Linked DNA regions of Schizosaccharomyces pombe. Changing the gene in region 2 together with the main gene of any one other region gives a genetic interaction. Each region holds a gene or a part of one and is shown on either strand. Other genes may lie near its edges. The genes, in order: pub1, any1, tsc2 and tsc1.

Region 1 (7,515 bases), on a different chromosome or scaffold from region 2:
GGCAACCAGGCTCGAATAGAGCATAGTCACGACCAAAATTGGCACCTGGAATGACACCGGGGCCACCGACCAAAGCACTTCCAATGTTGCTAAGAATGCTACCGTACAAGTTCGGCATCACTAAAACATCGAATTGCTGGGGACGAGAAACAGCCTGCATGGAGGCATTGTCGACAATTAAATCCTTAGGAGTAATAGCGTCGTAACCGTTAGCAACGTCGTAAAACGTCCTTCGAAAGAGACCGTCGGCCAATTTCATGATGTTAGCCTTGTGGATGCAAGTGACCGATTTGCGGCCATTTTGTAAGGCAAAATCAAAAGCAAATTGTGCAATTCTCTTTGATTTGTATTCTGTAATGATTTTCAAAGATTCCACGACTCCCGGTACCGACTGGTGCTCGAGACCCGAGTATTCACCTTCAGTGTTTTCACGAATAATTGCAAAATCAACATTGTCATGACGAGTCTTAAATCCAGGAATGTTTTTGATGAGCACTAGAGAGGCATAGATATCGAGTTCTTTTCTCAAGGCAACATTGAACGAGGTATGGCCTCCTTTTTCAAATGGAGTGAACAGAATTCCCTTTAAACCCACTTTATTTCTCTTGAGAGATTGAATTGCCTCATGTAGCGCGTCTCCAGACGATTTATTGTTTTTTTCCATTCCTGTAACATCAATTTCTTCAAATTCGATAGGAACGTTTGCCGTTTTAAAGATCTCTGTCACTGCATTGCTCGTTTCTCGTCCAATTCCATCGCCTGGAATCAACGTTACCGTGTATTTACCTCCATACTTTAATGGTTGAAAAGCTGAGGATTTTCTTACTAGTGATTTGAACATTATGTATCTTGTTTACTTCTTTTCTGTAACATGCAAACAGGATTGTTTTACAAGGCTATTGTGGTTGGTAAAGGAAAGCCGATGAGACCCCCAAACAAATACCTACACATCCATCGATTACCCCACTGCCCAATTCTCCTTAAAGGTAGCAATTTACGAACCTTATTCTGTTACCTTATCCAATGACATTTTAACCTCTTTAAAAGAATACTTTTTGTAGTTGTATCACGATATTTCACCTTCTACTCTAATATCAAGGTTTATACTGTTTTTTAACTCGCTATAAGAATTTATACTATTTACTATAGGTTCACACATCCAAAAAATAAATATTTGCACGAGATTTCATAGTTATCGAATTCGATATTACTGAATTTTGACCAATGTATAAGCATTCAACTTATTACTAACAAATGATAAATGTTTACGATAATAAACACAACTTCACTGTCATAGCTCTGCGGTCTGATTACACATGTATTGAAGCGGCTATTGTTTTCTTAATAAGCCCTTTTCATTCAATAAAGCCTATAGTTGTGGGTAAACTTTTCATGTCATCTATTTACTACGGTGACCAGGTAACTACCACATAAGCAACGACCTGGACAGGATACAAAAACCTTACCAACTAACTACCTATTTACTCACAGTTTCAAATAAAATGTTGAAAAAGGGCGGTAATTTCATAAATATAAAATCACTTATGCAGTACGTAACTTAATAATAGTAAATTAACTTATATGTTTTGTGCGAAGAGCATTAAGAGGAAATGTGTTTGCAAACAAGTATAAAAAGAAGAAGGAAAATGGTAGTAGAGAACACAAAGGTAGAACATGATGATCCAAGTATTTTCACTCAAATGAGAAAAAAAAAATAATTTCGGAAACTTTACACAGAAATTCTTTTTCACTGTTAAACACCAATAGTTCAAATATCAAAAGTAATCAATAGCTAGCTATCCATTTTACTCCTGACCAAAACCAATCGTCTCTTCAACAGCTATGGACAATTTATGATCCAAATCTTTTTTCGAAGTATAAGGAGGAAGATCAAGTCGATTGAAACAGGTGTGGGCCTTGGGAAGTTTATTGGGTTCACCAGCTTTTTCAATAGTAAACTTACGGGGGCCATCACTTCCTTGCAAATCTTTGAACCCGTTGACAGGAATTCGGCTAGTACCAGTGGTAAATTGTAAAAGTCTGGATTTCTTTTCATTACTCCATTCATCCATAAGTTCCCAAAACCATTTAATAATCTGGTCATTTTCACTGTATGAACGATAATCCGTATGCTTCTTCCAATCCTCCATGTCAATTTCGGAAATGCCTCCAATCAACAACTCCAATTCTCTCTCGTCAAACACGTTAATCAGTTCCTGTGGTATGAGCTCACTAAAACCTTCATGAAATGCATTAAACTGCTCTTCTATACGTTTTTGAATGCGCCATACAGTCACCAAATCAACATATTCGCGTTTATTCTCTTCTGTAACTTCAATGTTTCGACCATTCGGCTTCAAATCAATCGTAACAACCTCGCCAAAACAATTGTCTTCGACACTAAAGGTCAAATCAAGAACACCGGTTATATCGTTGTCCAAAATCCAGACTAAACTTCGATAATACTCTGCATCCATACTTTCCATATCCTGTAACGTCACCTTCTTTTGTAAAATCATTTTGTAAAAAGAAACAACGAAAAAGGCATCAACAAACCGACGATGGAAAATTGCGAGACCAATGACTCGGCCTATGAACTTGAAATAGTTCAAATGCTCTGGATTAATGCCAGAATGAGGATTAATTTGAAGCGTATAATTATCAACCGAAGAGTATTCAAATAAACAATAAAAGGGGTTGAACATTTCATGTGATAACAAAAAGAAGTATTCACGGGATAATCCACCGTAATCCAAACCATCTTCACCATCAAACTTAATCATCAAACGTTTTTTCAAATCGGTTGCAGATTGTCTCATAATTTCCGCATACGAATCTTCAAAGATATGATTTCTACGCACTTTAATGTGGCACTGCCCTGGCAAAGGATGCAAAGCTGGTTGCGAAAGGAAATAAATCAACTTTCTACGGAAATCACGTTTGTATTGAGGAACGTTTTGATCTAACGACGAAGGTAAACGAGGATCATCCCAAGTGGTAGTCTTGGTATTGTGATCAACAAAATATACACGAGCAGTATTGGTAAGACGCATTTCCCAACCACTTGGCAAAGGACCAAGTTGAGAGACAGGTTGTTGCTGAATAGTAGCATTATTAGGACCGCCATAGGAACGAATGTACTGTTGACGGCGCGGATCCACCCAAGTAGTAGTTCGCGTATTATGATCCACAAAGTAGGGTCGACCCTCTGGTGTATACCTTTGCTCCCATCCCGGTGGAAGCTCTCCTGAACCAGCAGTAGTAGCGTTAGAGGTCAAAACACTAGCTTCTGTACGACGAGCTGCATTGCTAGAGGAAGGTTGAACACCTTCGGTAACATTCGCAGACGATGCACTACTATGCAATTCGGCTGCGGCTGCTCCGGCAACAGAACTTAGGTTGGGGCGAATCCACGTTGTGCTTCTTGTATTATGATCTACATAATAAGTTCGGCCAAGATTATCGGTACGTCTTTCCCATCCAGGAGGAAGGCGCCCATATTGATCTTCAAATGAACTAAATGTGCGAGGTTCTGAACTAGCAGGGGAAGCAGCAGGTGCGTTGTCGCGGGTAGGTGAACCAGCACGAGAGGAAGCAGGGTTACGAGACACACTGCTACTTTGTGAGCTTTGCGGGTCATTGGTAATGCTAGTACGTTGGGTACGTGCACCTGATGCTGCACTGGATGGAACCTGTAAGGTTGACTGCGCAGTCGTTGATAAGTTTATGATTATCTTGCCATGAACTACTGTATTCTCATTTGACTTTTTCAAATCGCGGGTCAACATTTCATCACCTCCAATGGCGAGATCGAGCACATCTCCAACACGAAGATTTATCACTCCTAGAAAGCCTTGGCCTTTTTTCTTAAATTTTTTCTGATCGAACACCTGAATCGCAATGGTGCTATTATCTGTAACATTACTAAAGAATTGTTAGAAACATTGTTTTTAATCAAAAAGTTAACATTAGCTAAATTATAAGGGATAAACTGGAAGAAACCCCAACTAAAATTGATATACATAAAAGTTACTTGGAAAGGTCAAAACCTGGGATATACACTTACACTTCAAAAGTCTCATTCCAATAAGGGTTTAACGTCTTTTTGATAGCAGTTGTGGTATGTGTTTGCTCACCATCCACTGTTAGTACCGCAAACGGGTCAGGAAAACGAAACACATCTCGTTTGTAAAGGCCATCAGCAGCAACAACTATTTTGGGTCAGCGTTTGCACAGGGCATTTGAATAATGTCATCACATACTTGTTACTCGAATTCGACGAGATCTAATCATAAAAGTTAGCAAATGTGTTTATAGCAGTTAAAGAACTACTTACTGAGCTGAGTTTGACATAGGGGGAAAAGATGGTAAAATTTCAAACCAGCGTTGCTTTTGGATAATAAAAAAAAGCCAATTTCCCAAAGAAAGTCAAGTATTTGTGCTTGCAAAAAAAACTTTCAATTAAGGCCGTTTTATCCTTTCTATTTGATACAAAAACGCTTTTTTCGGGAACGAAATAAATAAAAAAGAACTACAAAAGGAATCCTTAATCAAATTCGTGCTTTCAGCGCACAATTTTGAAATCCGTCGGATTTCGCGTGGTGTTGGCTGAAAGGAGAATTAATCGGTCTTGCAGATTAGATCCTTAACGCATTATAACCCATTTCCTTATATATATACAACGCGATTACCAAATTGTTCTTTATCTTTTTTGGCGTACAGAAAATACGTTTTACGTGTTAACTACGAAAGTAAATATCATGCAGCACAATGTATGATTTGCAAGCTATAAGCATTTAATAAATTGATTTAATACGAAAGAATGAGGAAAATGTATATCTAACCACTTTGCGTTCAAGTGATAGTTAGAACTGAGAAGAAAGAGAGGAAACGAAGAATTGTAAAAGGTACATACAAGAAGGCAAACGGAGTGCCGCGAATAAAAGTAATAAAGCCAGAACTTAGCAACAACTCTTAAACAGACAATGCTCAAAATTTTTATTTTTTAATTATCAGTAGTCGAGCATGCTGGCCAAAACAAAGTTAAGTAAACATCCAGCCACACGAGAGAAAGTAGAGCTAGATGGTCCTCAACATGACGAAAGAGTAAGAGCGATAAGTGCAGCGAAGGGAACGTGACGCTCCATTACATATACGAGACGGTGAAAAAGGAACGGAAGGAAAAGAAAAGGAAAAAGTACAGTATGTACATTTATTTCAAAGAAATGAGATAACGAGATTGGTTAGGCGACTGAAAGTAAAATTGAAATGGCTGGTCATAAAGACTATTTGCTATCCACTTTCAATAACAAGAAACCATGGGATGGAAAACAGGTAGCTGTTAAAAGTTTCATTTCGTTTTACACTATTCAGGAAAATTGGCTTTCCGTCGCATTTGACAAGAATTCGCCATTCTGTAAAGAAATGTACAAATGAAAAAACAAAGCGAAACGGCGAATGAAACAGAAATGATTGATAAGTAATGAAATGCAAATGAGAAAAGGATAAGAATAAACAAACCAAAGAGACTTTTTTAAGGGTTGTATCTCACTACAGTGAAACAATTGAAAGAAAAATTCAAAAGTCAGTCAAAAGATGAAGTCGATTTAAAAGCAATAAGTTAAGGAACCAGATGACATATTTAAGACTTTGAATGAAATGCAAGCAACGAAATTTTCTTAAAAAAAGAGGGCCATGAGAAAAAGCAAATAGTTAAGTTTAAAAAGAAAGTTTGAAAGAAGGATAAATAGTTTGCTAAATAACTCCTTTTTTAAAGAAAGTAAACCGACGGACCAATTGATTGTATGAGATGGTATAAGCGAAACCCATAATAATAACAAAGCTTTGCAATGAGAATGTGAATTTCTAATACCATAAAACTGTTCAAGCAAAAAGGAAATGAGTGAGTAACGGTAAAACAAAGAGATAGCAATAAGATTGAAAAGATCGATTACTTAAGATTTTCGTAAAAAACAAAGGTAAAAGCCGAATAAAGAAAAAGTTGTTATACGAAAAAGTGATGAGCAAGCTTTTCTTCGCAAGACTTTCTACCATCAATTGAAGGCAAGCGTAACTAACGCATTTATTTTAAGCGACGGATATATCCAGAAATTGTAAACAAATAATTTTTGCTTAAATCTATCGCAACAAGTGTTTAAGCGCATACTTTAAAACAGGTTCAACCTGCGAGCTTCCGATGACGACCGAGGAATAGAAACGTTGCTACTTGATGGGTTGTCAGCAAAAGGTGAATAATTGGGCTGGTTAGAAGCACCAGTGCTTGTTGGGGAAAGAAGATTGCTTTGAGATCGACTAGACAGAGCTGCCCTCGAGCCGTAAGAGGATTCTCCAGCTAAATCACTAGCCATGCTTTCACTGTCACTTTCAGGAATCGTAGCTAAAGGACCTTCTGGATAGGAATCTGAACCAGAACCACTGTGTTCTGCAGCTTCGGCCGCAGCTCCAGCGGCACCAACAGCAGGGCCTGACTCAAACGGAGATGCAGACAAACCTTCAGAAAAGTTGCTTCCATTAGATGGAGGCATTGTAGCTTCAGCTTCGTTAGAAGCAGAAAGATCAGGTGGATTTCCAATCGGTCTAACCATACGGGCTCCTTGAGGACGAGTAAAGCTTCCACCAGTATTAGCTGCATCAGAAGCATCAGCACCGACACCAGCAGCGGTAGCAGCTGCAATTGGACCAGCTGAATTACTACTGCCACCCAAAAGGCCGGGCTGAGAAGCTGCAGGCGGATTGGCTCCGCCAGCGCCGGCAGAAGGTCTAGGAGCAACAGGCCGTCCGTTAGTATTGTTTCCAGCAGCAGGTGTTGGGCTTCCATTCCAGCCACGATACCTGTTATTAGTAGAGGGAGCACGATTTGGGCTACGGAAATTGGAGGGTTGATTGGGGTTAAATCCGTATTCCTCGACTTCTTGCATGCGCTCAGCCTTAATTCGTTTGGACCGTTGATGCCTTTTCCAAAGAAAAATTCCTAAACCAATCAAAATTAGAACTACACCAACAGGAATAGCAACAGAACAACCAACAACTACGCCGACATGATTGCTTGACTTGTTAGATTTACTGGGCAAAGTGCCACTGGAAGAATAAGAAGAGCTAATAGGCGTAGACGAAGTGCTGGAAGTGAAAGAACTGGAGGAATTCCAATTATTAGTAGTAGTGGGGGTCACCACTTCAGAAACGTAAGAAGTTGAGACCAATGTGATTATTGAGGGTCCATCTCGATACGTACTACTGACAATGCTGGCTGAAGAACTCAAGCCGCTCGTAGTCATGGAAGAGCTGTGGTAGGAAGAACTAGATGATGGGACACTAGACGAATGGCTTAAGGAACTACTGGACATCCCACTGGAGGAACTACTAGCGACAAGAGAACTACTGCTGCTGCTAAGCGCGTGACTCGAACTACTGGAGGTCGGGGAAGCACTGCTACTGGAAGTCAGTGTAGCACTGCTACTAGAGGTCAATGAAGCACTGCTACTAGAGCTTTGTTGG
Region 2 (6,529 bases):
AATCAATACAAATAAGAAATGTTCAAGAAATTCAAAATCATAGCAAATTTGCGATCAATACGACGGAAAATTTGTGGAAACGAGATGTGCAGTTAAAACGTGCAATTTCCGAAGGAACTATTCGTATTTTTATATCATTGCATGTGCAGAGTAAGAAATTGCCTGTTTATATTACTGAAACGAGCGGAAATGCTGTATGTGAACATGCTTTGATAAACAAAAGTATCTGAATGGTATCATTATATCTAGGTTATTTGCTTGATTGAAAAGGTTAATCAGTTTGTTTATACAAGTGATTTGCCAAAATTTCGTTGCTCAAATCCTTGAAACAAAGCCCTCAATTGATAGTTTATACCTTGTATCTCTTTTACCCATATACAAATTTTGTATGTATTTATGTTCTTTGTGTCTAACCTCTCATTAGAATCACATCTTTTACGTCGATGAAAAAGTAACCGAAAAGCTTCAAAAATACCGTCACGAAGAGTACTTTATCGTGAGGACTTGGTGCTCATCAAGTAGTCATGCCTTCAAGCTACATAAAGAATGGAAAATTTTGAGATATGACAGTAATTTTCGTTATATTGGTAATGATGTACGGTTGAATATTTTTGGTTTACCTTATGTTTCCCTTGTGTTGACTAACATATTATTTGTAGCCTGTTTTTGCAGTTTGTCATATTCGAAACGGTCTTTTATGTGAATTTAATGATGGCGTTTACATCTACACAACATCCCAGTCTTCGGATATTATGAGACAGACCTCCTTTCCAAAAAGTGCCTCCACATATTCTATAGACAGGCGGAAGGATGGTTACACTATTCAGAAAATCACTCGAATTTTGAAACTGGCTGAATGCATAGATGAAATGCACATTGCTAAACATGAAATTCGAGCTCATTTTCAGGAGGAGGAGTTTCAGCAGATACGTTTGATGCACAAAAGGATGTTACTTCGGGATGAAAAAATCGATGAACTGGCTAAATTAGAACATCTTTGGCAAAAACAAATTAATAGCATCACTCAGATGAGGACGAAATTTGACAAGACGAAAAGCTGGTTATCCTCAAAAAGGAACACTTTGAACAAATCCAAAGAATCCCTTCAAAAAGATGAAGCTGAGTATGTGGAACTTGCCAATTCTTTAAAAACAAAAGTAGAGACCAATATAGAGATTCGAATCCTTATGGCACATGCTATTCGTATGCACGTTTCCCATCTTTCCAAAATTTACCCAATCCAACCATCGCCTGGCAATCATGACGAGTTTACAATTCGCAATCTCCGCCTATCTTTTGAGCCAGATAAAATTAATAATGTGGAAATGGCTGCTTCCATAGGATTTTTGGCGCATTTACTTCAAACTCTTTCAAAGTATCTCGAAAAAGAACTCGCTTATCCAATTCTTTGCGCATCTTCGAGATCCTCCATCCTGGATACATTGACACCCGACATCCCCACGCGTATCTTTCCCCTTTATCCAGCAACTCGACCAATTGAGCTTTTTGAACATGCCATTTATCTTCTCAACCAGGATGTAAATGATTTTTTAGAAACTTTTGGATTACCTATTGACCAATCCATGGACATACTCAGGAACTTTAAAAAACTGCTCCAATTTATTTTATCAGGACAACATCTATCTTTTGTACAAGTAACGTCTACCGCTCCTTAACAATTCCATAAGCTTAGGCACCATAAGCCTAAATTATCGTTAATTGCAAAACTACGCATAACTTGTCTATCGTTTAATTGTATCTTTTCACCCTAGTTTACTCTCAACAATCAATTTCGTTTTCGTATTCTTTGTTGGAAATTCATATACCCATTTCACGGTTTAATTTTAATCATCTTAATGAAGAGTTTTTATGGACATTTGCCGAAGGCATATTACTCATTGTCATTGCGACAACTACTATACAATGCATTTACGTTTAAAATATAAAAATAAACAGATAATGATGAATGTAGATATTATAAATAGTTCCCTTAAATTAATAAAACTTGTGAATTAAAAAATAAAAAGAGCCATGTTCATTTTTTGATAGTTATGTGATGGTGATCGAGCTCTTCCGGTTACATCCGACCCACATATTCTAGGTATAGGCAGGCGGAGCGGGTCCTACACTTTCAAAAACTGGCGGGCATTCTTCATCCCAACTAATACCTAAACCAGCTGGCGTGGTAAGTGGCTGAACGACTGATACTCGTAAGATACGGGCATTGCCCATATTGTTTCCCGCAACGTTCTTTTTTCTATTAACAATGGTCTCAAAAATTAAATGATGAGAGACTTTTAAGGAAAAAGGGGCAGGAATTTCCACGTCACAGCTTGGCTCTCTTAAAGAAGATGTGTTAATTTGAGTAGATAGAAACATCTGATTATCAATGAACTTCCATCCCGATTGTAAATCTTGTGTACTCAAAATTCTTTTTTCTTCAATAGGTCGAGGTTTTACCAAATCACGATGGCGTTCACATGGTTGACAACTAAACTGCATATGCTCCTCCAATCTCCAAGTAACTCTATTGATCTTCCAATCGTTGCCGTCATTTTGGGCAAAACCAGTCATGGTAACTTCCATAAGCGCAGCTCCATGAGGATGCAAGGTACTGGGCAAAGTAATGTTTGCAACAAGATTCGTAGGGGGAAAGATACGTTTATGGATGGTATCAGGCGAAGGAATGGCAGCTCGCTTTAGTTGGAGAGGAAACTTAAGAACTTCGGGCTTCGAGGGAGAAATTCCGCCTTCAGGAGTACCATAGCATAACGTAGCTTCTAAATAATACTCAAGCTTGATGTATCTGTTAGAAACCGAAGCAGGAAGCGAACCAGGGAAAAGCCAACTAAAAGGCCAATGCTGAGTACCAGGTCTATATGTGGTATTTGCAGCTAAATCCCAAGTCTGTAAAACCTCTTTTGAACCCGCACAAGCAGAACAATGAGAGATTGCAGGATGAAGAACGGTGATCCTTTTTATGAGTTGCAGCTTGAGGGTATGTACTTTAATAAAAGGTTGATGTAAAATCGTCAGTTTTAAAATGCCAGACGCAAGTGCACCACTAGACGTTTCCGGCGAGCCAAGGAATACCAGCGGCGGTGATTCCATACGTATATCTAACGTACAGCGAGCAGGGTCTTTTGGCGTGGTTGAACGAGGTAGTGCAAGTTTTAATGGCATAGTAATAAGAAAATCTAAGCGTTTGTCGGTAAAACAAAGGAATGGAAAAAAAAATAGAAATGGAAAATTTTTTAAAAAAAATTACCAGTATGAAATGATAAACCAGGAATAAAATAATGTGTGTAAAAATGCCAAGTACACCTAAAAAAACCAAACCCTACAGTGGAAGAACACTGCTAAATTGAACTTAAAAAATGTGAAAAGGAAAAACCCACCAGGAAATTAAAGAGAAGAAAGAATTAACGAAGTATGGAAATAAGAAAAAAAGTCGTTAAACCAAACAACCAACGACTTTTTTCTTTCGCCTATTATCCAAATTTTTTTGAAGATGATTTATACCTATTCTTCTTCCGTAGAAAGTAATAGTAATCCAATTGATGAGAAAGAAGTAAACCGACTTGAATTTAACACAGGGATGTAAGGTAACAAAAAAGCTGAACAAAGGAACTTTATGAGTTTGCTTTATGTCTCCCTTAGTGATGATGTTTTTGTTTTAATAATTCAAAATCTCATGTGAATTATCAACCCAAAAATGTGTAAGAACAAGCTAATTAAAAAAAAATAGCAGACTGTCAATTAAAGTAGAGCACACACCTTCTTAAGAGGAGCTGAAAAAATGAAAAGAAACCCAAGGCTAGAGAAAATGAGAGGTTCGATGGGCAGTTTATATTCGCAAGATTCGCAATAGATCAGCAGTCCACGCAAACCAAGTCGATTGAACACCAAAATCTAGAGAAAAAGCAAGACAAAACTGACGAGCGATTTCACTAGAAATCGATCTCTTAAAGCCCTTTTGATTTCAAGAATCACTAGAAAATACTTGGTTCACGGTGAATGTTAAAAACATGAAGAGATGGGATGATTGCTCAAAATTTATTTTAATGAGGCGCATAGAAGTTACGGTATCAAGATTTTGCGTCATAAAAAATAATCTCGTGTAATTGTTTTCGCATGTTATTTCCGTTAATGTTATTCTGGAATAACGGTGATTAGGTTTACGCTAAACGAATTAATGCAGAGAACCGTGTTTCCATAAGTGACGAATTTTTTGATGAAAGAGGGCCGCGATGAGACGATTACATCAATTAATAACGGAATAAAGTGAAACGAGCTTGTGCAGAAAATTGAAATATGTATGTAAGGAAAATATCTGTTAAAAAGCAAGAGAACGAAATTTTTTATAAAAGCTGTGTATACAGTGCGAGAAAGTTAACCGCTAAAGATTTTGGTGTATGATAATATACCGATAGAAATACAATGATTTCCTGTGTAATATAATATTTCCTTGAGAAGTTTACAAAAATGGATAGAAGGAATTCTCAATCATATTCATGGTGCTAAATCTGATCTGATCTCACTGTCATTGTTTTGTTTCCTCCCATAAGCTCAGTATGTCCCCACGCCACAAGTAATACGTAGCAAGTGAGAGGTGTCTACTGTTGCAAGAAATACTCTATTGTAACCTACCAGCGCAAAAGCTTCGAGGCTACAAATTGCTTATTAGTTTTATTAGAAATCATCACAGTTGGCCTTACTCGTACCAGTCTATTCATAAGGTCAGGAGCATCCCGTCGATCTGTATCCGCCTGATCTGCAAAATACGCAGGAAGCCGATGAATAATGCCCTTGTGACCGTTCGTATATAAGAAAATAAATATTATTAAAAAGAGGTTCAATCAGTATTTTTAATTCAAAAGAGAAAGGATAAAAGTTGAAAAGCAAAGACATCCATAGAAGGAAAGGAAAAATTTTTTTGTTAAATTAAAGTCCATTTTTGTAATTTGGTGTACAATAATAGTTTTATAATTCTTCCGTGAATGCTCTCCGCGGAATAAGGCACAATCCTAAGGCAGCAACGTAGTAAGGAGATTTGGAATTGTAACTTATTGCAATTAGCAAGACGGTATATTTCGGATCGAGGAAGACAAGGGAGGCTCGAGAGCAGCAAATGGTGAAAACAAGCAATGTGTTTACCGACAAACAGTGCAAATATCAACAAATGAGGCAAATGGGTTGATCGAAGAGGCGGTTTCTGGGAAGGTCTGGCTCGCTGACAGAGTGAATGTAAGTAATCAAAAATACTCTTAATAAGCCCATTGCAATTTGGCGATTCTTATGCTACAAGGCCTCTTTGTTTGCACTGGCACACAATCTCTAATTTTGTTTCTGTTTTTGACATGCAACATTGCTACGTACGCAGCGTATATTACTCATTCACAAATAATGTTACTTTTTTTGTTGTTGATATTATTCTTTCATCATTAATATCACTCTCTTATTACTGACACTTGCTCCTTATGAATTTGTATTCCAATCGGTGTCCATCTTCGTACGGTTTTTTGGTTTCCGTCTCATTTGATCGCCATGATGGATCATTATGATTCATCATCGCTCTCGTTATGGCCAACATAACATAACTGCGCAGTATTATAAATTATTCCCGTAAGTTTCCCGCTTTAGAAAACAAAGAATCATGGTAACAAAGAACGTATGGAACACTGAAACCTTCATCTTATAAATGTCGTCGAATTTTCTCATCATCTTTAATTTCCACTTAAACAGCTACATCAGATTTTTTTACCTACCCTTTTTTGCCCTACCTTACCTTACTTACTGACTCTGGATAGGTATCATCGAATTCTATCATAGACCGAGCAAAAACAAACAAAACGGGCAAAAGAAAAAGAAGAAAAAGAAGGACATTGTAAAGATCAAACTTTACAATATTATTAAACTTATACAGTACAGAACAGTGTACATGCTCAAACACTCTTAGTCCATTCATTTACCTATGTATTTGTATGCAACGGTATTATTAAAAAAATCTGTAAAGATTAGTGAATTTCATTCTGCTTCATTAATGTAAGCTACGCAGTTTGGTATCTGATTTAAGGATACGTAGAACTGCGGTGAGTTTTCCTTGTGATCTATTATATTACAATACACAGGTTGTATAAGTAGCAACTGAGTATAGGTATTGTATTAACTGGGTTATAATGTTACCTATCACTAATATAGCTCATAACTGAACTGAGGAACGAGGTTCAGCAGTAGCTCTATTTATAGTATTCAGATAATATTGATCTTAATAGATTATCATTAAGATCAATCTCCATATCGTATCATACATGGTACGATATATAATTAGAACATGTGACATATAGTGATACTCAACGTAGTGTATTATAGCGTAGTGTAGTATTGCTGACATTGCCCTCCCCAAGATTTTCTATGTAAATCTGAGGATAAGTCATATGTTCTCAGATATTTAGATTATTGTTTTTAATATAATCATTGACAATTGCTTTGTCCGCTTGTAGCGCTGTAGCTAATGTAGTCCATCCTG
Region 3 (8,725 bases), on a different chromosome or scaffold from region 2:
TCACGAACTAATTCAAAAAGGGTTTCAATCGATTAACGTTAAAAAATATGTTTTACGAGGTTTCATCACAAATTAATGATTTTACATTTTCCAACTGCGGCAAGTTGAATGAACAGCCAAATTACTAATTCAACAATATTGTCTCGCTAAGCATAAGTGAAATTGTCTTTCCTGACATGTTAATCTCAACATAGTTTGCTTACTTTAGCTTCGAAGCCGAGAAGGTTTTACCGAAATTAACGAATGTTATTTCTCGTTATTTCTCAAACAACATCATTCATGATTACTGTCCGCCAATTCACTTTTACCATCTTCAAGTTTCAATTTATGGCGACGTCCAATGTATCATCACGTGTAAATGAGCTTTTAGAAGCGGTTAAAAAGGAATTTGAAGATATTTGTCAAAAAACTAAAACCGTTGAAGCTCAAAAGGATGATTTTGAATATAAAGGTATCTTATACAAGAATTTGCTGACAAATTTGCGGTACAAATCTAACACTTCTTAAATTAGCAATGATATCTGCACAAATTAATGAAATGGCGCTCATGAAACAAACCGTTATGGATTTGGAGATGCAGCAGTCTAAAGTGAAGGATCGGTATGTCAATTTTCCTAATACACGCTTGGCGAGAAGGTTTGTTATATTAGTACAAGGTTATGCAATTATTGTGAGTGTTGTAGAGTCTTACAAAAGCGATTCCTCTCTAAATATTTATACAATTTACGGTCGTTGACGATAAATCTTTAAAGATGCTAAATAATGGTGGCTCCTTTGATGGGAGTAAATTCTATTAAGTAATCTTTTCATATTTTTACTCCGATGAAGGGTATTTCGTTTTTTACTCAGTATTTGGATGTTTATCACTGTTCGAAGATTCTCTGTCCTTTTCACACTTTTGTCAGCACCAGCATGCCTTCTGCTATGTGAACATTTATTCTCAATTTTATATTATATTTTCTCGAAAGCTATCTTTCTTGTTACTAACTCTCTCTAGTTACGAAGAAGAAATCACCTCCTTAAAAGCTCAACTGGAAGCTAGACGCAAAGAAATTGCTTCTGGCGTCGTCCCACAGTCTTCGAAAACTAAACACGGGCGCAATAGCGTTTCTTTTGGAAAATATGGAAATGCGGGCCCTTTTAACTCGGACAACTCCTCGAAACCTTTGATACTTAATAACGGTTCTTCTGGAGGAACTCCTAAAAATCTTCGATCACCTGCCATTGATTCAGATGGTACTGTTTTAGCTCCTATTCAGACCTCGAACGTAGATCTTGGTTCACAATATTATTCCAGTCCTCATGTACGCCCTGCTGTGGGTGCAACCATGGCTGGATCTGCTATGCGAAGTAAGTTCAAGCTTGCATTGTAGCTTTTGGCAACAGCATTTGTTTTTTGACTTGATCAAGTTTATAGATACTTTTTGTCTTTCACTTTATTGTTTGCATCTGGTATGTTGTACACCGTATGTTCCCAGACAATTTTTTAATGCTGTCATTAATTCGTTTGAATTCCTTGCGGCTTTTGTTCATTTTTTGTAAAACAAAATACTATTGCCGAAACTATTTTGCTTCCTCGTTTTAATTTGGATTTTCTTACTTACCATTCACAGCATTTCCTTCCAATTTACCGCTCGGACATCCTCCACCTCCATCTGACTCAGCTAATTCTTCCGTCACACCTATCGCTGCTCCTTTGGTTGTAAACGGAAAAGTCTCAGGTAATCCTCCTTATCCTGCTGAAATTATTCCGACATCCAATGTGCCTAATAGAGAGGAGAAAGATTGGACTGTCACTAGCAATGTACCTAACAAAGAACCCCCGATCTCTGTTCAACTACTTCATACACTGGAACACACAAGCGTTATTTGTTATGTAAGGTTTAGTGCCGATGGAAAATTTTTGGCTACGGGTTGTAACAGAGCAGCTATGGTTTTTAATGTGGAGACCGGTAAATTAATTACGCTTCTGCAGGAGGAATCTTCGAAGCGTGAAGGTGATTTATATGTTCGCAGTGTAGCATTTAGTCCTGATGGTAAATACCTTGCTACTGGTGTCGAAGATCAACAAATCAGAATATGGGACATCGCTCAAAAACGTGTTTATCGTCTACTGACTGGGCATGAGCAAGAAATTTATTCCCTTGATTTTAGCAAAGATGGAAAAACATTGGTTTCTGGTAGTGGAGATAGAACTGTTTGTCTTTGGGATGTTGAAGCTGGCGAGCAAAAACTAATTTTGCATACCGATGATGGTGTTACTACAGTAATGTTTTCTCCCGACGGTCAATTTATTGCTGCAGGTTCTTTAGATAAGGTAATTAGGATTTGGACATCGTCCGGAACTTTAGTAGAGCAGCTTCATGGTCATGAAGAGAGTGTTTACAGCGTTGCCTTCTCTCCTGACGGAAAATACCTGGTTAGTGGAAGTTTGGATAACACAATTAAGTTATGGGAGTTGCAATGCGTCTCCAACGTTGCACCCAGCATGTATAAGGAAGGCGGTATTTGCAAGCAAACTTTTACTGGACATAAAGATTTTATTCTAAGTGTCACTGTCTCTCCGGATGGAAAATGGATTATTAGCGGCTCGAAAGACCGAACCATCCAATTTTGGTCCCCCGATTCTCCTCATTCTCAGTTAACTCTCCAGGGACACAATAACTCAGTAATATCGGTTGCTGTTAGCCCGAATGGCCATTGCTTTGCTACTGGTAGTGGTGACTTACGAGCAAGAATTTGGTCTTATGAGGATCTGTAAGAACTAGCGATGTTTCATTTATAGCATTGAATGACAATGTCCGAAACCTACTTAATTTTTTAATTCTTCATTTGCCAATAATGCCCATTGACCATTGTGAGACTCGCTTCTTGGCAAGTCTTTTTTCCTTTATTTTATAAAAATTCATAACCGATTTTGTAACCCTTCAAACTTGCGGCTTATTTTGGTCGGAATTTTTCTATCAAGTCAAGCCGACCAGATGTTTTTGCTAATTCTTGAATCATTTCAATTCCCTTTTTTTAATTTTTGATACTTCCATACAATCCCCGACAACCGAAACTCTGATTTTATCCATAGTATTTCATTAACTATTAAATCCCAACTTTTGTATATATTTAATAGACCCTTCAAGTTATGTATATGTTTGCGCGACCTAGCTACTTAGCAATTGGTTTTTACGGTTAAATAACTTCATATATTTTTTGAATTTTGAATGTCGAATACTAAGTTTCTATTTATTAGTTTTAATGTCGTTTCAACCTATTCCTCTTAGATAAGGTAATGCTTCCCCTAATTCATAGCAGCCTGTCAGCTCTCCTCCCCACCCCTACCAGTGTAGCTAATACTTGAAATCAACTTCCATGCTCATAGTTTATGATCTTGAATATTCCATTAAGTTAAGAGTTCAGATTTGCTTTATGTGGTTATTCTGCTGAAGGTCCTAATTTATTGACGTTGAAAAATAAAGGCCACATAGATGAACAATAAATCACTTTTGGATCTTTCTAGTGAGCCTGCTATCAAAGATACAGACATTCTATCATATTTTGATGCTAACCTTCCTTTTAAAAAAAGGCATCAGATTGTAAGGAGTATTTACCATGGCTTAAAATACTATATATATTCATCGACTTCTATCATTCAAGTATGGCAAAATATTCAGGATTTTATCTCCACCAAAAACGATAATGCTGCTTTTCGGGAGCTTGTATACAATCTTATGATGAGATATGTTTCTACACAAAAGCATCTCTCGATTATAGAGCGCCACACTTTTTTTCAAACTATTGAGAAAGATCCTTTTCAAGATATTGCTGAATTACAGCTTCGGCTTAAGAGTTTGAGTGTTTTAACGGATGAAGGGCACAAAATCTCCGGTATTGAGAATAGGGTTGGTCCTTTGTTGAGTGCATGGTTTAACCAGTATCTTCAATGGCAATCTCAAGCAACTGAATTGCAAGGCAAAGACGCAGATTCAAAGCTCGTACATTTGCTTTTTTTTAAAAGCCTTTTTAAGTTTTCTACCAACTTAGTAAAATTTCAGTGGTTCCTAGTGCCTGAACCTCAAATGCTACAGCTTGTTAATTCCGTGGTACAAATATGTAATCACGCTCGCTTAGAAGATGTGGTTACTGAGGTTCTGATGTTTTTTGATTCCATGATTCGCTACTCGGTTATTCCAAAAGCTTCACTGTATGATACTGTTCTTATTTTGTGTAGCACATACATCAGCACCTACTCATATTCGAAACTTGCACAATCTGTTATATTTAATCTTATTAGTAGTCCCGTGTCAAATCTGGCTTTTGAAAACGTATTTAATATACTTCAATACAATCGCTCGAATGTTAATGCTGTACGGGGCGCTGTGCGTTTAATGCGTTTTCTCATGCTGCAAGAAGTGAAAAATGATGCAATAGCTTCTATAACTTTAAGTTCAAGTATTGAATTTACTGAGTTTCCATTAGGATTTAATGAGAATGTTGATTTTGAGATCCTTGGTACTGTGTATCTTTTTTTACGTACACCTTCTATATTAAATCGCCTTAATTTTTTGGATTGGCATCGGATTCTTAATATTTTAATGTATTGTTCACAATATCTACCTTTGAAAGCTAGTACATCGAAGGAAGCATTTTCGAAGACTGCAGCATTTGCTAATATATATGATCGTGTTTTGGATTTTTTGGATTTCGAAGCCTTGATTCCACTGCTGCAACAATTTCAGGTTAAGCTGGTATTCTTTTTGAAGGATGTTCTTCCAGTGTTAAAGCCGAAAATTCGAAAAAAACTTTTACGTCTTTTTGAGACTTACAATCTTATATTTCCTTGCAATCAATATTGGGTATTCAACCTTGAATTTTTACTTGGTATTTACCAATGCAAAACATTTGATCTTGAAGATCGAGCTCTTTTATTTAAGCTTGTGGAAGATGCTTGCTCTGTTGCTGATGAAAATTCGGCCCCCATTTTGTGTTCGAAATTCCTTTTTCCAGTAATTGAAAGCTTTTCTAAGGAATCTGATGATTGTGTTGTTTCTCCTGTATATAATATGTTGTTTTTCTTGTCTGTCAATTTTCAAAACCCGGGACTTAAGGATTGTATCGATCATATTTTTCAACAGCTAATTTCCGACACGAGCTCTGTTACTGTTCGCAGACTTGCCACGAGTACATTAATTCGTCTTTTTTATTATTATTATGACTTAAGGGATGCTGTGCCTATTCAAGAAACACTGGCTAAAATGTTAGAAATCTTGGAGACTCCATCTTTCCCTTTTGTTTCTCGAATGTTGTGTTTACAATTCTTTCTTCGATTTCGAGCAAATGGGACGTCTATTTATATATGTGAGAATATAGATTTGAATGAACCCTTCAAAGTCTTAAACGTTGATTCAGAACTGATTCCTGCAGTTTATCCCATTTCTGATTCTTTTGTTAACTCAGCAACAGTAGAAAAGCATATTTGGGAACGAAAAGAAAACGATTTGATTAAAATTTCAAATCATTCTACAGAATATGGCAAGGACTTTGTAACGTTCCCAACGTCTTCCTTGTTAAGGTTTTATCGAAAATCCATGGCTACAGAGTCTAACTGGACTATCCTTATGTTCATGATTACCCACCTTGCTGATCAAATAAGTAATAGGAGTATGTTTATCGGCGCATTAGAAGAAATCTATAATTTACTTGATTTTATGTGTGATATCGTTTTTGAAAGAGTTTCTATATCTGCTGAAATTCCTTCTAATATTCGTAAGGCCAACATCATGATACCAATCTTGCAAAACGTACAAATGCTTTTTGTTTATCATGATCAATTCAGCAGGGCTCAGGAAGATGAATTAGTCAGCGTTTTTTTTGCAGGGTTGCAAAAATGGAACGAAGCATGTCATGTTTCTATTCATTCACTTATGTTATGCTGTTATGAATTACCCGTTTCAATTCGAAAGCAGTTACCTGCAATTTTAGTCACTTTGTCAAGGTTAATCACCAAACCTGATTTGAGCGTTCACATTTTAGAATTTTTATGCAGTTTAGCAAGATTACCTGATCTTATTGCAAACTTTACGGATGCTGACTATAGACAAATTTTTGCAATTGCTTTGAAATACATTCAGCACAGAGATTTCACTAAGGAGTCGAAAGATTCAAATGATACGGAGAGCATATTAAAAAACTCTTACTCATCATACGTTCTAGCTCTAGCCTATAGCGTGTTACAAATATGGTTTCTTTCGTTAAGATTAACTGAGCGTAAAAAATTCGTACCTTGGATATTGCGTGGACTGAAGCTTGCTTCTGAAGGTAAACCATTGGAAGATTTATGTCTTGTTCAATATGACATGATGCAACAATTTTGCTATTCTAATTCCGACATCAATAACCAAACATCTACTTTTGTTGACTCAGACGTGGAAAGTGAAACTTGGATTCGTGGTAATTCACTCTTTACGATAAACGTGTCGGTAAACTCTGGATTCTTAGAAGCTGTCATTCGTCGCCCGACAGGTACTACGCAGTATACTTTTCGAAATGAAGCAAGTCTGCAAAAGTTTTTATGGGAGGAAAATCTCACAAGTTCAAAGGCTCTTACGAGGGGGCTTTTGTGTACTCCTAGCAGCTTTGTCTCTCATTTCTTGGATCCACATGGTATTTCTTTATACAATCAGCCTCTTCTGCTTCCCTCTAATGATGATTCTGTGCGTAGGGCTATAAGTGTTTTTGACCGTATTCCTGTAATTGAATCACTGAAGGCTGGTCTTGTGTACGTTGGGTACCAACAGCGTCGAGAAGCAGACATATTGGCAAATACAAATCCTTCTGAAGATTTCCTTACTTTTCTTAACGGTCTGGGCACATTATTCGAATTAAAAACAGATCAAAAAGTTTTCGCTGGTGGTTTAGATAGGGAAAATGATATAGACGGTGCGTTTGCGTATTGTTGGAAAGATAAAGTTACCCAAATGGTGTTCCATTGCACTACAATGATGCCAACTAATATAGAACATGACCCTGGGTGCACATTAAAGAAGCGTCATATTGGAAATGACTTTGTTACTATTATATTCAACGAATCTGGTTTAGAGTACGACTTTGATACAATTCCTAGTCAGTTCAACTTTGTGAACATTGTTATTACCCCTGAATCCGAATCTATCAGAAGAACAGGGCGTCAAATTAAATTTTATAAAGTTAAAGCGTTGACCAAATATGATATTGACTTTAGCTTATTCCGTCGTTACAAAATTGTTTCAAGCGATGCATTACCGGCAATTGTTCGTGATGTAACTCTGAACGCTGCCGTTTTTTCACATATATATCATCGCAGTGCTGGTGATTATGTTCATATATGGGCTGAAAGATTACGACAGTTAAAAAGATTACGCGAAAAATTTCAAGCTTCAGTTTTACCAGAAGACTACAATCTCGACGAGCAAACAAAGACCAAGCTTCAAAATGGCACGAATTTTTCGGACTTTACTAGTTATTTATGAGCCATAAGGGCATATAAAAAGTCCTAAATTAAAAGATTGATTACGATTGTGCCTTGCCATCATTAATTAATTTTTTTTATTTAATCTTAAATATTATTTATAGATCAGATAATGAAGATGTTAAGGAAGATGAATAAAAGAAACGGTATCCATGTATATGAGATGAATGTAGAAAGGGTTATGCGCACAATTTTTTTAAACAAATGAATTGTTGTTGACAATGAAAATCGGCGTGCATGAGTTTTGTAAAGTGGGAGGCTATAACGGTCAGTTCCAAAAAAAAAGATAGCAGTCCTCAATAATATAAGAGCAAAAAAGATGGATATAGAAGCACCATACCAAACATAAATTTGAATTTGGTTAGGAAGAATGCATAACTTTGTCTGATAAGAACTTTTTTGATCGGCTTTAGGGTTGTCATAAGGATAGTTCAATGAGAGAAGTTGATATCCCGGATATAGTATGCCGCTGGTCATAGAAAATGCCTTCACATTATATTCCGTGGTGGCTGCTTCTCGAGTATCCACCTGGTAATTATGCACAACTTCGCAATAATCGTGATCGTCTCCAGCAAATGCGGCAATTGGTTCAACAGCTTTTAAAATAGACTCGGAAAGTTCTGGCAAAAGCAAGTTTTGATACTGATATCCCAAACCATATTTGATAACATCATCTTTTTCACGAAGCTCCCCGCAAGAATTGATGGCAGGGCGAAACAAAGGAACGTGAGATAGAAGGATCCTAGGTCTCGAGTTGTCCTTATTTGTTTCAAAGCTTTTTAAGAAGTCTCTAGCCGGTTGATAAACTTGGGGATTGACGTTGTTTGATAAACGAATTCCATCTACAATAACCAGTGTATGATTGCCAACGTCTATTGATCGAGATGTTGGACCAAAAAGAGATTCAAATCTTTGAATATCCTTAACAATAGCGTGATTACCAAATCCAATATCATGATTGCCAGGGTAGATTTCCAATTTATTGGTGAATTTTGGGTCAAGGACGTTCATCATTCTGAAATAATCTTTTTTAAATTCTTCAGTTGCGAATTCTCTACCTGTGTCCATCAAATCGCCCATTATGAAAGTAATATCTGGCTTCAGTGATTTATGAAGATAACGCCAATGCCGACGAAGAAACTGGTCGGAAATCCATTTAACGATTCCAATTAAAGGTCGAGGATAATCATAAGTCAAATCGTCAACTAATTGAGGATCCGCAACCAA
Region 4 (8,629 bases), on a different chromosome or scaffold from region 2:
GCTCGTTTTATTACAGCATTAGACTTTGATGCATTGACATTTATTATTTTATCTTCCTTTTCCAATGAGTTCAAAAAGCGATTGAAATCTGATGGAACTAGTATAGCTCATTGGCTCCAAGGTTTAGCATCTTTTTGTGGCCGTGTATTCAGAAGATACTCGAGCCTCGATTGCACCTCTATCGTCGAATATGTGATTAAACAGTTTAAAGTGAACCAAATGTTTGACCTTGTTATATTGAAAGAATTGCTTTCGCAGATGACTGGGCTACAACCATGGACAAATCTCTCTGACAATCAGATTCAAGGGGCTGCTGGTGGACCAGTTTTGCGACAACTTAGTTTATCTCTTATATATGAAAATCCGGACGTTGTTCGGAAAAGTTCCATGAGACTTTTTAATACGCTGCAAAAGAACGGATTGGCAACCCAGCTATTGGTACTACTCTCTCAAAAATATTCGACCTGTATATATGATGTTACTGATGAAAACTCTCATTTAAAACTTATTTCTTCTCTTCAAGACGAATGCTCTGATGTTCTTTATCTTTTAATGGAATTTCTTAATATGGTTTGCTCTCCAAAGAGCTATTATAAATTGATTCCTTCATTTGAGCAATTAATTCAAGATTTTCATATTCAACCTCAGGTTGCATTTTATCTATCGCGTTACAAAAATTTAGATCACAGTTTGACTGGTTCAAATACTGAGGATGCAATGGATATTGATTATGAAAATACTTCATCTCCAAACACTGCTAGCAACCCCGTTTGGAGTATTGACAATTCTGTCATAACTGAGTTATTACCTAAACAAATTTGGGATTATTTTTCACCTAATTTTTATTTAACATTTTGGAAGCTATCGCTGTATGATGTTTTTGTTCCCTTGGAACGTTATGAGTTTGAGCGTTCTCGGGCTTTTGATCAAATTAGGCAAACTGACGCCGCTAACACATTTTATTCACGACATCGACACGACCGACAAAAAATAATGCAATTGTCTAACAGCTTACAGAATGAACTTAAAGAACACATTAATTCACTTGAGAGTGTAAGAAAAGTTTTGCAAGGTGACTGCGTGAAATGGTTTATTCCAAATGGTGTTTTTCCTAATGGTACAAGACTTGAGCATGCTAGATTCAACTGTGCTCGGTATTTGTGGACACTCTGCATTGCTCCCCGTTTAAAAATGAGCCCACATGATGCTTTGTACTGCGCAAAGTTTGTAAAGCTTTTGCACAGTCTTGGAACACCAAACTTTTCAACTATGTCATTTTTAGAAATTTTGTTTAATTCACAATTGCCTTCATTTATTTTTTCAATGACACAACGAGAGGCTGATAATTTTGGAAGATTTTTATACGAAGTACTCTATGATATTACTAGCTGGTACAGGGACAAAATTCTTTACGAACGCGAATGTTTGGCAAATGGTGCTTTGCCTGGGTTCAGGTTATATTGGTCTGACGAACAAAATGATCCCGATCTTTCCGCTGTCCTTCCTTATAACAAATTTGTTTTGCTATTTAGTAAATGGCACAAATATCTAACATCTTATTTTGAGTCATGCTTACTATCTACTGAATATATGCATATCTACAATAGTGTCATAATCTTGGAAAAAATTTTGCCATGTTTCCCATTGATAATTGAAAGTGGCAGTGCTTTGAAACGAGCCGCTGAACGATTAAAGGACGAAGAAAAACGAGAAGATTTAAAGGTTTTGGCTTTGGGGTATTTTGCAAAGCTCTCAAAAAAGCAACCAGAATGGGTTTCTTTTAATTCATTTTCTGGTACTGTAAGGCCGAGTAATTCAGAAAAGCTTCAGAGACCGCAACAACTTTCAGTGGCAGCTACATCAGCAGTTGATTCCAAAACTGCTTCCATATCGGAAGAACAGGCAAAGATTGATAAACAGAAAGTAGCTTTGAATCCTAGTGCACCAGAGTTTGTACCTGATAGTACGCCTTCCGACGCAGTTGCTTCTGAAACTGACAATAAAAATCTTGTTGAGAACAAGGCAGTAGAGAAAAGGGTTGAAGCTAGAAGCTCAGCTAATGAAAGAAAACAAGAAGAAAGACGTAGAAAAACAACTCCTGAAGGAAACAGACGTGCTTTACGAACACGCACCCCTACGAATGAGGATATACAAAGATCAGACAGTAAATTGCGAGAGGATCAGTCTAGAGACCGAACACCTCAATCAAGAAGTTTTACAAATGAAAACAACGATAATTTAAGGAGCGTGTCTCGTCATACTCGACGCGAGCCTCAGCAAGCACAAAACCTAAATGCTAGGCGTGAACATGAATCACAGAAATCTGACAGATGGCGCCAAAATGGAAACGTAAATCGCAACCCTCGAGTGTCTAATAACAATAGCACTAATGTTTCAAGAGAGCGCTCGTCTGAAGCTAATCATAGGACAAGCAACGATAATAAACGTGATGAGGTTACAGAAGGGAAAGATAAAAACAAAAGGCAAGATATTTCTGGCGAGAGTAATTCTCGGCAGAATAATGCTATTAGTCGGGCTGGAAGAAGTAATGGATCTAATAGGGGAAATGATTCCAGAGATGCAGATGGTCGTCGTAGCACTCATTATGCTTCAAATAAACGTCCCCGATCTTCGGATAGTCAAAGCCCGAGCAACCTACGAGAGGAAGATGAAAGAGAAAATTCTCGTCGTAGGGCCAGGCAAGACGACCGAAGGGATCGGGATTCACGACAGCAAAGAGATCGTCCACGGGATAGAACATCTCGATCTGCTCGAGAAGAGAAAAGAAGAAAAATTCAATGATCCACGTTTCAAGCTTTAACTAGATGTCAGCTTTTTTTTCTTATCTAACTAAATTTGTAATTACAAGGAAATAATGAAAAATCTTTATATAAGGAGATTCATACACAGAATTATGATGGTCGTGAAAAATCGTAATCTAATTATTTTATATGGAATGAGCAAGTATGTTTTATCATAATTGACCAGTTCATTTCAAGGACCTTCAAAAATATACCTACTTAGTATTGGCGAAACGTAGAACGACTTGTATCAGTAGACTGTCTACGTGGCGGGCCAACTTTAGGATGCAAAGAGTCATTACGAATTATGAACTTGCTTTGTTGCAAACCAGGGCTACTGTGTATTGAGCTTCCAGTATCAACAAGCGGTTTTTGAAAGTTTTTTAATTCTTCGACCTCAGCTTGTGATTCTAAAAACTTGCCCTCCAACTCACGGTACCGCGTTAATAGCTCATCGTAATTTTCTTTTATTTCGGATATTTTAGACAACTGAGCGTCGTAATTTAAGTTGACAGGATTATGCAACTCAGGTGCGTTCGCTTCAGATGAAAGTCGTTTTTCCAAATCAAAAATCTTAGCCTCGTAAACAACATTAATGGCTTCCAGGTCCTTTTTCAGTAGCTCAATATTAGCTTGAAGATGCAAGTTTTCTGATTCCAGTTTCATTCGATGTTTTTCTGACTCGATCAACTCTCTTTCTTGCTCATCACTAACAGCTTCACTGTTAGAGAGAATCATACTACTGTCCATCTTCGTATTTCCAAAAGAAGTATCAGAGCTCGAAGAGACTTGCTTTTTGGAGATATTAACGCAGCTCAAATGCTGTTCATATTCTTTCAACTTAGTTTCATAGAGTTGAAGCTTCAACTCCAGTTGATTTTTTGAAAACGCAATGTCAATTTGAGAATTTCGTATTGATTCCAATTGCGAGATTAATGATTCAATTGATGATTTGAGTTCTGATTCTTCACTTTTCCAAGCTTTCTTTTCTTCTCGTAACGCTTTTATTTTGTTGTTAAAATCATTTTCCCACTTAACCCTACGATTTAGAGCTGCCTGTGATTCTGAGCGATGTTTGTCAATTTCAGAATTCAGTAACTCTATCTGAGCTTTATATCTTTTGTTGGTTAAAAGCAATTTTTGCCTTTCTGATTCCACAGCCATATCTAGTATGTGCTCACGATGAAGCTTTCCAATATTTTGCAAGTGCTGCTGACGAACAAATTTTTCAAAACGGAGCTCATTCTGAAGAAATAGCAGATCCCTTTGTAAGCGTCGAATTGTATCGTTCGTGCTGCTCAAACTTTCACTAGTCAGTTCCAAATTATTTGAGCCGCGTTCACCTTTAACCATGTGAATTGAGGAAACACCTTCACTATATGATGTACCATGCGAAATATTATCATAAGAATCTTCAGTATTTGATAATTGGGCTTTGTCAAATGTAGTCGCGGAATGAACAGAACCCGATATTGATGGATTTTGAGGCCAAGATATGGAAAAAGGCTCAGAAGCAATATCATGGCTTTCATTTGGATAGGCCAATAATCCAGTAGCTGAACTTGTCTCTTCATAAGTGGTGGGAAGCTTACCACCAAAAGGATCCATAACACTTTCGGCTATTCCAACAGCGTTAAGACTATTACATAGGGCCACTACAGCAATAGAATCAAGTCTTGTCCAACGGGATTTATCGGTAAGTTCTGTTTCTGCTGTATATTTAAGAAAATTAGAATGTGCCAAATGTCTACCGAGAAGACCATCCGACTTTGTGGAGAGGAGTTCTTGATTAAAGGAATAACGTATTTGGAAATTATGTTTAGAAGCATACAACTTAGGATCCCGAAGAAACTCTAAAAAGTTTATAGGGTACAGAGCGTACAAAATTGAGAAAAGTTGAGAGTAGTCAAGACTTTCGAGATAATCTGGTTGAGAAGAACCAACAATATCATGAACATCATTGTAAGAGCTATCTGTTTGAGAGGTGGTAGTTGAGGCATACGTTGACATAAAATCGTGAAACACCTCCCAATTACCAGACGCAGTAGACGATGGGAAGCCAGAGGTCGGGTCAATCATTGAAAATCGAAGATAGATACAGAACAATCTATATAAGGAATCGTCTAAGGAGTTACAAATGTGAGACAGTATCATAAGGATGAAAGATAATGCATACGACAGTAAGATTGGTGAAGTATCAAATTCCGCACATTTTAAAACAAGGTCATAGAAGCCAGTCTGTGGTATTTCATATAAACGAGGACCTTGCCGCCGTATTACTTCAACCATAACTGATAAAATAGGGATTCGGGTTGGAGGATTTAAAAAATGATGACAAAAACAAGAAGAAAGTTCCTTTGGTCTCTGTATCCCATAATGGACGAGAACATTAACCAAGCATTCAATAGTTTGATTCCTTTGCTCTTGAGATTCCACGTCACCTAGATTTTCGATAGCTTTAGAAACGTAAAGGTCAACCAAACGAGTGATAGTTTCCTCAGCGCACTCCCGTCTCAAGTCTCCACCCCATTCATCCTCGTCGTGAAAAATTAAAATGTAAAATAAAATACTTTTCAAGTCACTAAATACCGGTTTCAATTGGGTAGGAGAATTCAAGAAAGGAAAAAAGATCTGGTCCCACCATTCACCAACTGCTTGGCGATCCAAAATCAACAACGGTATAACCGTTTTCAACACAGCTAGCCATAGTATCCGTCGCCTTGTATTATTGAACGGCGTCTTTTCGTAGATCTCGTCCAAGATGTGTCTTATTTTTTGTGAGTTAGTGGGGTTTTGTTTGGGATAACGCTGCTGATACGACTCAACTTCCGCAATTAACTCAGTCAAATCGGGATAGCCTTCCGATTCTTCTTCATGAAGGACGTTCCATAATGCTTTGACTAGCGATTGCAGCGGCATTCGTACAAAGTTGGCAAAGTCAACGTTGATATACAACTATGCGACATTATACTGATAGCAAGTCTTGGCAGCATTGATAAACGTAACGAGGATAGCGTAGTCTGCCACATTTTTTTAATTAGTCTTTGCATTTTCAACCAAATTATACAGCGCTATCCAAAAATCCTTTAACTAGATTACATGTCAACCATACAGGTCGTAATTCGTTTTTAAGATACGATAGTACTGCAATGATATTTTTTAGTGTAATGTACATAGTATAATAAATTTATTGTAAATAGTTATAAATATCCTAAAATACTCGTTAAGAATACCAAGAAGTATTTATAATTACACTTATATAGCTAAAAATTGAATTGAGGAACGTTGTTTTAAACAAGCTTTATTTGAAGGAATCATAAGTAGTAAAGTAAGTTGTAATTTTTATCCAAATTATGTAAACATCATCTATACCATGGTACTTGATCCATCTCCAAAATTTAAAGAATGTATTAAGTATTGATTTCTAGGACTATACAGTATAGTAGGCAGTGTTCGCATTTTCAGCACAGAGGAAATACGAAAGCAAACAATGCGAAAACACATTGAGAGTTCTCTGAATAAACATGTAAAAATAAAAAGAAAACGGTTTTACTATTAAGGATTCCTAGGGAACTTTTCTTTCAAAGGAAGTTAGAGGGCAAATAATTTGAGTCGGTCTAATATTATGGTAACATATTCAAGCACTTTTAACGACATACTCTTAACTGCTATGTTATTCCACAGTGTGTTACAGTCACTTAGAGAGAAAATATTTCATTAATAAAAAAAAACTTTTATAGGGCAGGTGTAAGAAGCGTTGCAAGGCGCAAAGTAGAAAAGAATATAGTCATGGAAAAGGGAAAGCCGGTGCTTGTAAATAATTACAAACACCAATATTTTTTAATTTATATCTTAAAGTCTTCCAAGTTGGCGATGTAAAGTTTCATAACAAAAGCCATTTCATTTTCATTGCATATTTTGGGGTCATTTCAGTACCCAATGGAACTAACAGGAGAGATGCAGTGAACAACTAAGAAGTATCAAAATATCTGTAACTGTTTATAATCCTTTTTTGCTTACTTCTTTTACTTTTTGTTTTTCCCCAGTCTCCAGGAGTGCTGGGTAAGCTTTATTTACCAACCATCTGTGAATTATCCAGCCATAGCATATCTCCTTCTACTAGTTTATATAATATTTCCTTTCAAAAAATAGGCAAGCGACTGCATATCCTTGTTTAAATGTCTTATTTTGATTCTTTTTTTATTATTATTCAATCGGTGTTATCACATGAAATTTACCGATTCATTAAAACCCCTTTCGGAATAAGTTGACGAAAGGTGGAAATTGCTACCTGTTTTCTTTGTTCTGCTTTCTCACTGTTAATTTGTTGGGGTAAACAAATCAATTGCACAATGTTCTTTGTTCCGTTAAAGTTCCCATTGTTCGCCATTTAATGATTTCTTTGTTTAAAAGAAAGCGTATAGCAATGGTTAGATGGGAAACTTCGAAGTATAAATACTAAGGCATTTCCCGAATTTTCATCAGTGTGCCTATATCGACGTTTACAAAATTGCTCCAATCCTTCATTCGATTTTAAATTTAATAGGGATCAGACCTATTGAAAACAGCTGGAGACCTGATTTAGTATCGAATTACCCGTAATTGATTATAAAAATTGACGGTAATCAAGAAAGTGGGACTATTACTATATATTTAAATTTCTTTTATCTTATTTGAGTTCTGTACTTCTCTTTTATCTTTTAAAAAAATAAAAGAAACAATATTTAACACTCCATTGTGCTTGGCTGCCCGATCTCTGTCGCTTTTTCGCTTAGCAAGATCACAATTCTTTTGTTCATCACTTTATTATTTATGATAAAAGGCTACAAATTCGTAAAAGTAAGAATCAGCTTTGGATGCCCGCCCTTCATAACCCTTCTTCACCACCGCCCAGTTATGAAGCTGTTACGTCTTATCGCAACGGAAATTCAATAGATTCCGGCGATAAACGTCAACAATGTTCTCGATTAATGAAAATTACCTCTAATGGTAGACCCTATAGCAAGGACTTTTTGGAGCTCTTCTCGACGATGGTAATTTCTACGAATTTTTCTCGGAACAGGTACAGATTCTCATATGTGGAAAACTCTTGTACCTTATTGCAATTGCTTTCAACATTGGAAAATCTTCAGCTGAGTCAGGTAAACCGCATTAAAAGTAGATGCGGCAGTAAAGTCTTAAAGTCTACTACCAAATTTACGATACCTAAGACTGCTGCTAAATGTTTATGTAATACATTTTTAAATGCTCGTTTGCTGCAAATTGTAAATAACCCATCGGCTAGAAAATTTTCAAACGAAAAATGTCTTCTTCAACTTACAAGGAAAGGTTACTCTGTTGTTAGTGAGTTTCTACAACATAACGGACATAATTCTCAAGCCGAGCTTTACGCTTCCAAATGGAATCATTCTGCGCCCGTCATTGTTTCCATTTCGCGCTTTTCAAGTACCGATCAAATACTTAAGGATTCTTCTTTTTGTGAAATGTTGCTGGTACGTATGCTTGGAAGCGTCCATGAAATTGGGAAATCTAAAAACCCTCTTCTGGTACCCGTTTACTCCGTTTCAAGTCCCTCTCCAAAAGACTCCTTAAGCAAAGTCACCAAATACCAAATGTTTGGCATTGACATAGCTGAATGGCTTATGTGTAACACTATGCTCCTAGACTGGTCGGAAATGGAAACTGTTGCTAGCGATTTGTTAATTCATTCATACATTGCTTACGAAAATAATTCCGAGACTCCTTTAAAGTTTAGCTATGCAAAGGGTGTTTCCTATTTTTTGACTGGAAAGGGAATTGCGACTCTAGGATGGACTAAAAATGTCTCC

What was found.
Region 1: of any1 (region 2) and pub1, extra expression of one rescues a mutant of the other (dosage rescue), as found in Schizosaccharomyces pombe (2 studies listed by BioGRID, with this or other methods).
Region 3: of any1 (region 2) and tsc2, changing one suppresses a phenotype caused by changing the other (phenotypic suppression), as found in Schizosaccharomyces pombe (2 studies listed by BioGRID, with this or other methods).
Region 4: of any1 (region 2) and tsc1, changing one suppresses a phenotype caused by changing the other (phenotypic suppression), as found in Schizosaccharomyces pombe (one study listed by BioGRID).

What each region holds. Positions count from the first base shown.
Region 1 is NC_003424.3:3,960,161-3,967,675, reverse strand, and holds pub1 (HECT-type ubiquitin-protein ligase E3 Pub1), read right to left. Parts: upstream 4,611-7,515; 5' UTR 4,354-4,610; coding exon 4,337-4,353; intron 4,286-4,336; coding exon 4,263-4,285; intron 4,212-4,262; coding exon 4,067-4,211; intron 3,925-4,066; coding exon 1,806-3,924; 3' UTR 1,504-1,805; downstream 1-1,503. Other genes in the region: isocitrate dehydrogenase (NAD+) subunit 1 Idh1, read right to left, coding at 1-841; protein Mtl2, read right to left, coding at 6,168-7,515. UniProt on the Schizosaccharomyces pombe protein: E3 ubiquitin-protein ligase which accepts ubiquitin from an E2 ubiquitin-conjugating enzyme in the form of a thioester and then directly transfers the ubiquitin to targeted substrates. Regulates ubiquitination of cdc25.
Region 2 is NC_003423.3:1,806,305-1,812,833, forward strand, and holds any1 (arrestin-related substrate adaptor Any1), read right to left. Parts: upstream 4,016-6,529; 5' UTR 3,184-4,015; coding exon 2,098-3,183; 3' UTR 1,954-2,097; downstream 1-1,953. Other genes in the region: phophatidylinositol 3-kinase complex subunit Vps38, read left to right, coding at 1-194, 425-595, 660-1,676; Tf2-9 (retrotransposable element/transposon Tf2-type), read right to left, coding at 6,444-6,529.
Region 3 is NC_003424.3:368,719-377,443, reverse strand, and holds tsc2 (Rheb GAP, tuberin Tsc2), read left to right. Parts: upstream 1-3,312; 5' UTR 3,313-3,479; coding exon 3,480-7,499; 3' UTR 7,500-7,603; downstream 7,604-8,725. Other genes in the region: transcriptional corepressor Tup12, read left to right, coding at 328-451, 513-600, 998-1,350, 1,614-2,761; SPOM_SPAC630.12 (lipid phosphatase), read right to left, coding at 7,604-8,725. UniProt on the Schizosaccharomyces pombe protein: Together with tsc1, required for uptake of various amino acids from the environment and for proper conjugation. Involved in induction of gene expression of permeases and genes required for meiosis upon nitrogen starvation.
Region 4 is NC_003424.3:672,519-681,147, forward strand, and holds tsc1 (Rheb GAP, hamartin Tsc1), read right to left. Parts: upstream 5,742-8,629; 5' UTR 5,721-5,741; coding exon 3,021-5,720; 3' UTR 2,803-3,020; downstream 1-2,802. Other genes in the region: THO complex subunit Tho2, read left to right, coding at 1-2,802; G-protein-signaling regulator Rgs1, read left to right, coding at 7,658-8,629. UniProt on the Schizosaccharomyces pombe protein: Together with tsc2, required for uptake of various amino acids from the environment and for proper conjugation. Involved in induction of gene expression of permeases and genes required for meiosis upon nitrogen starvation.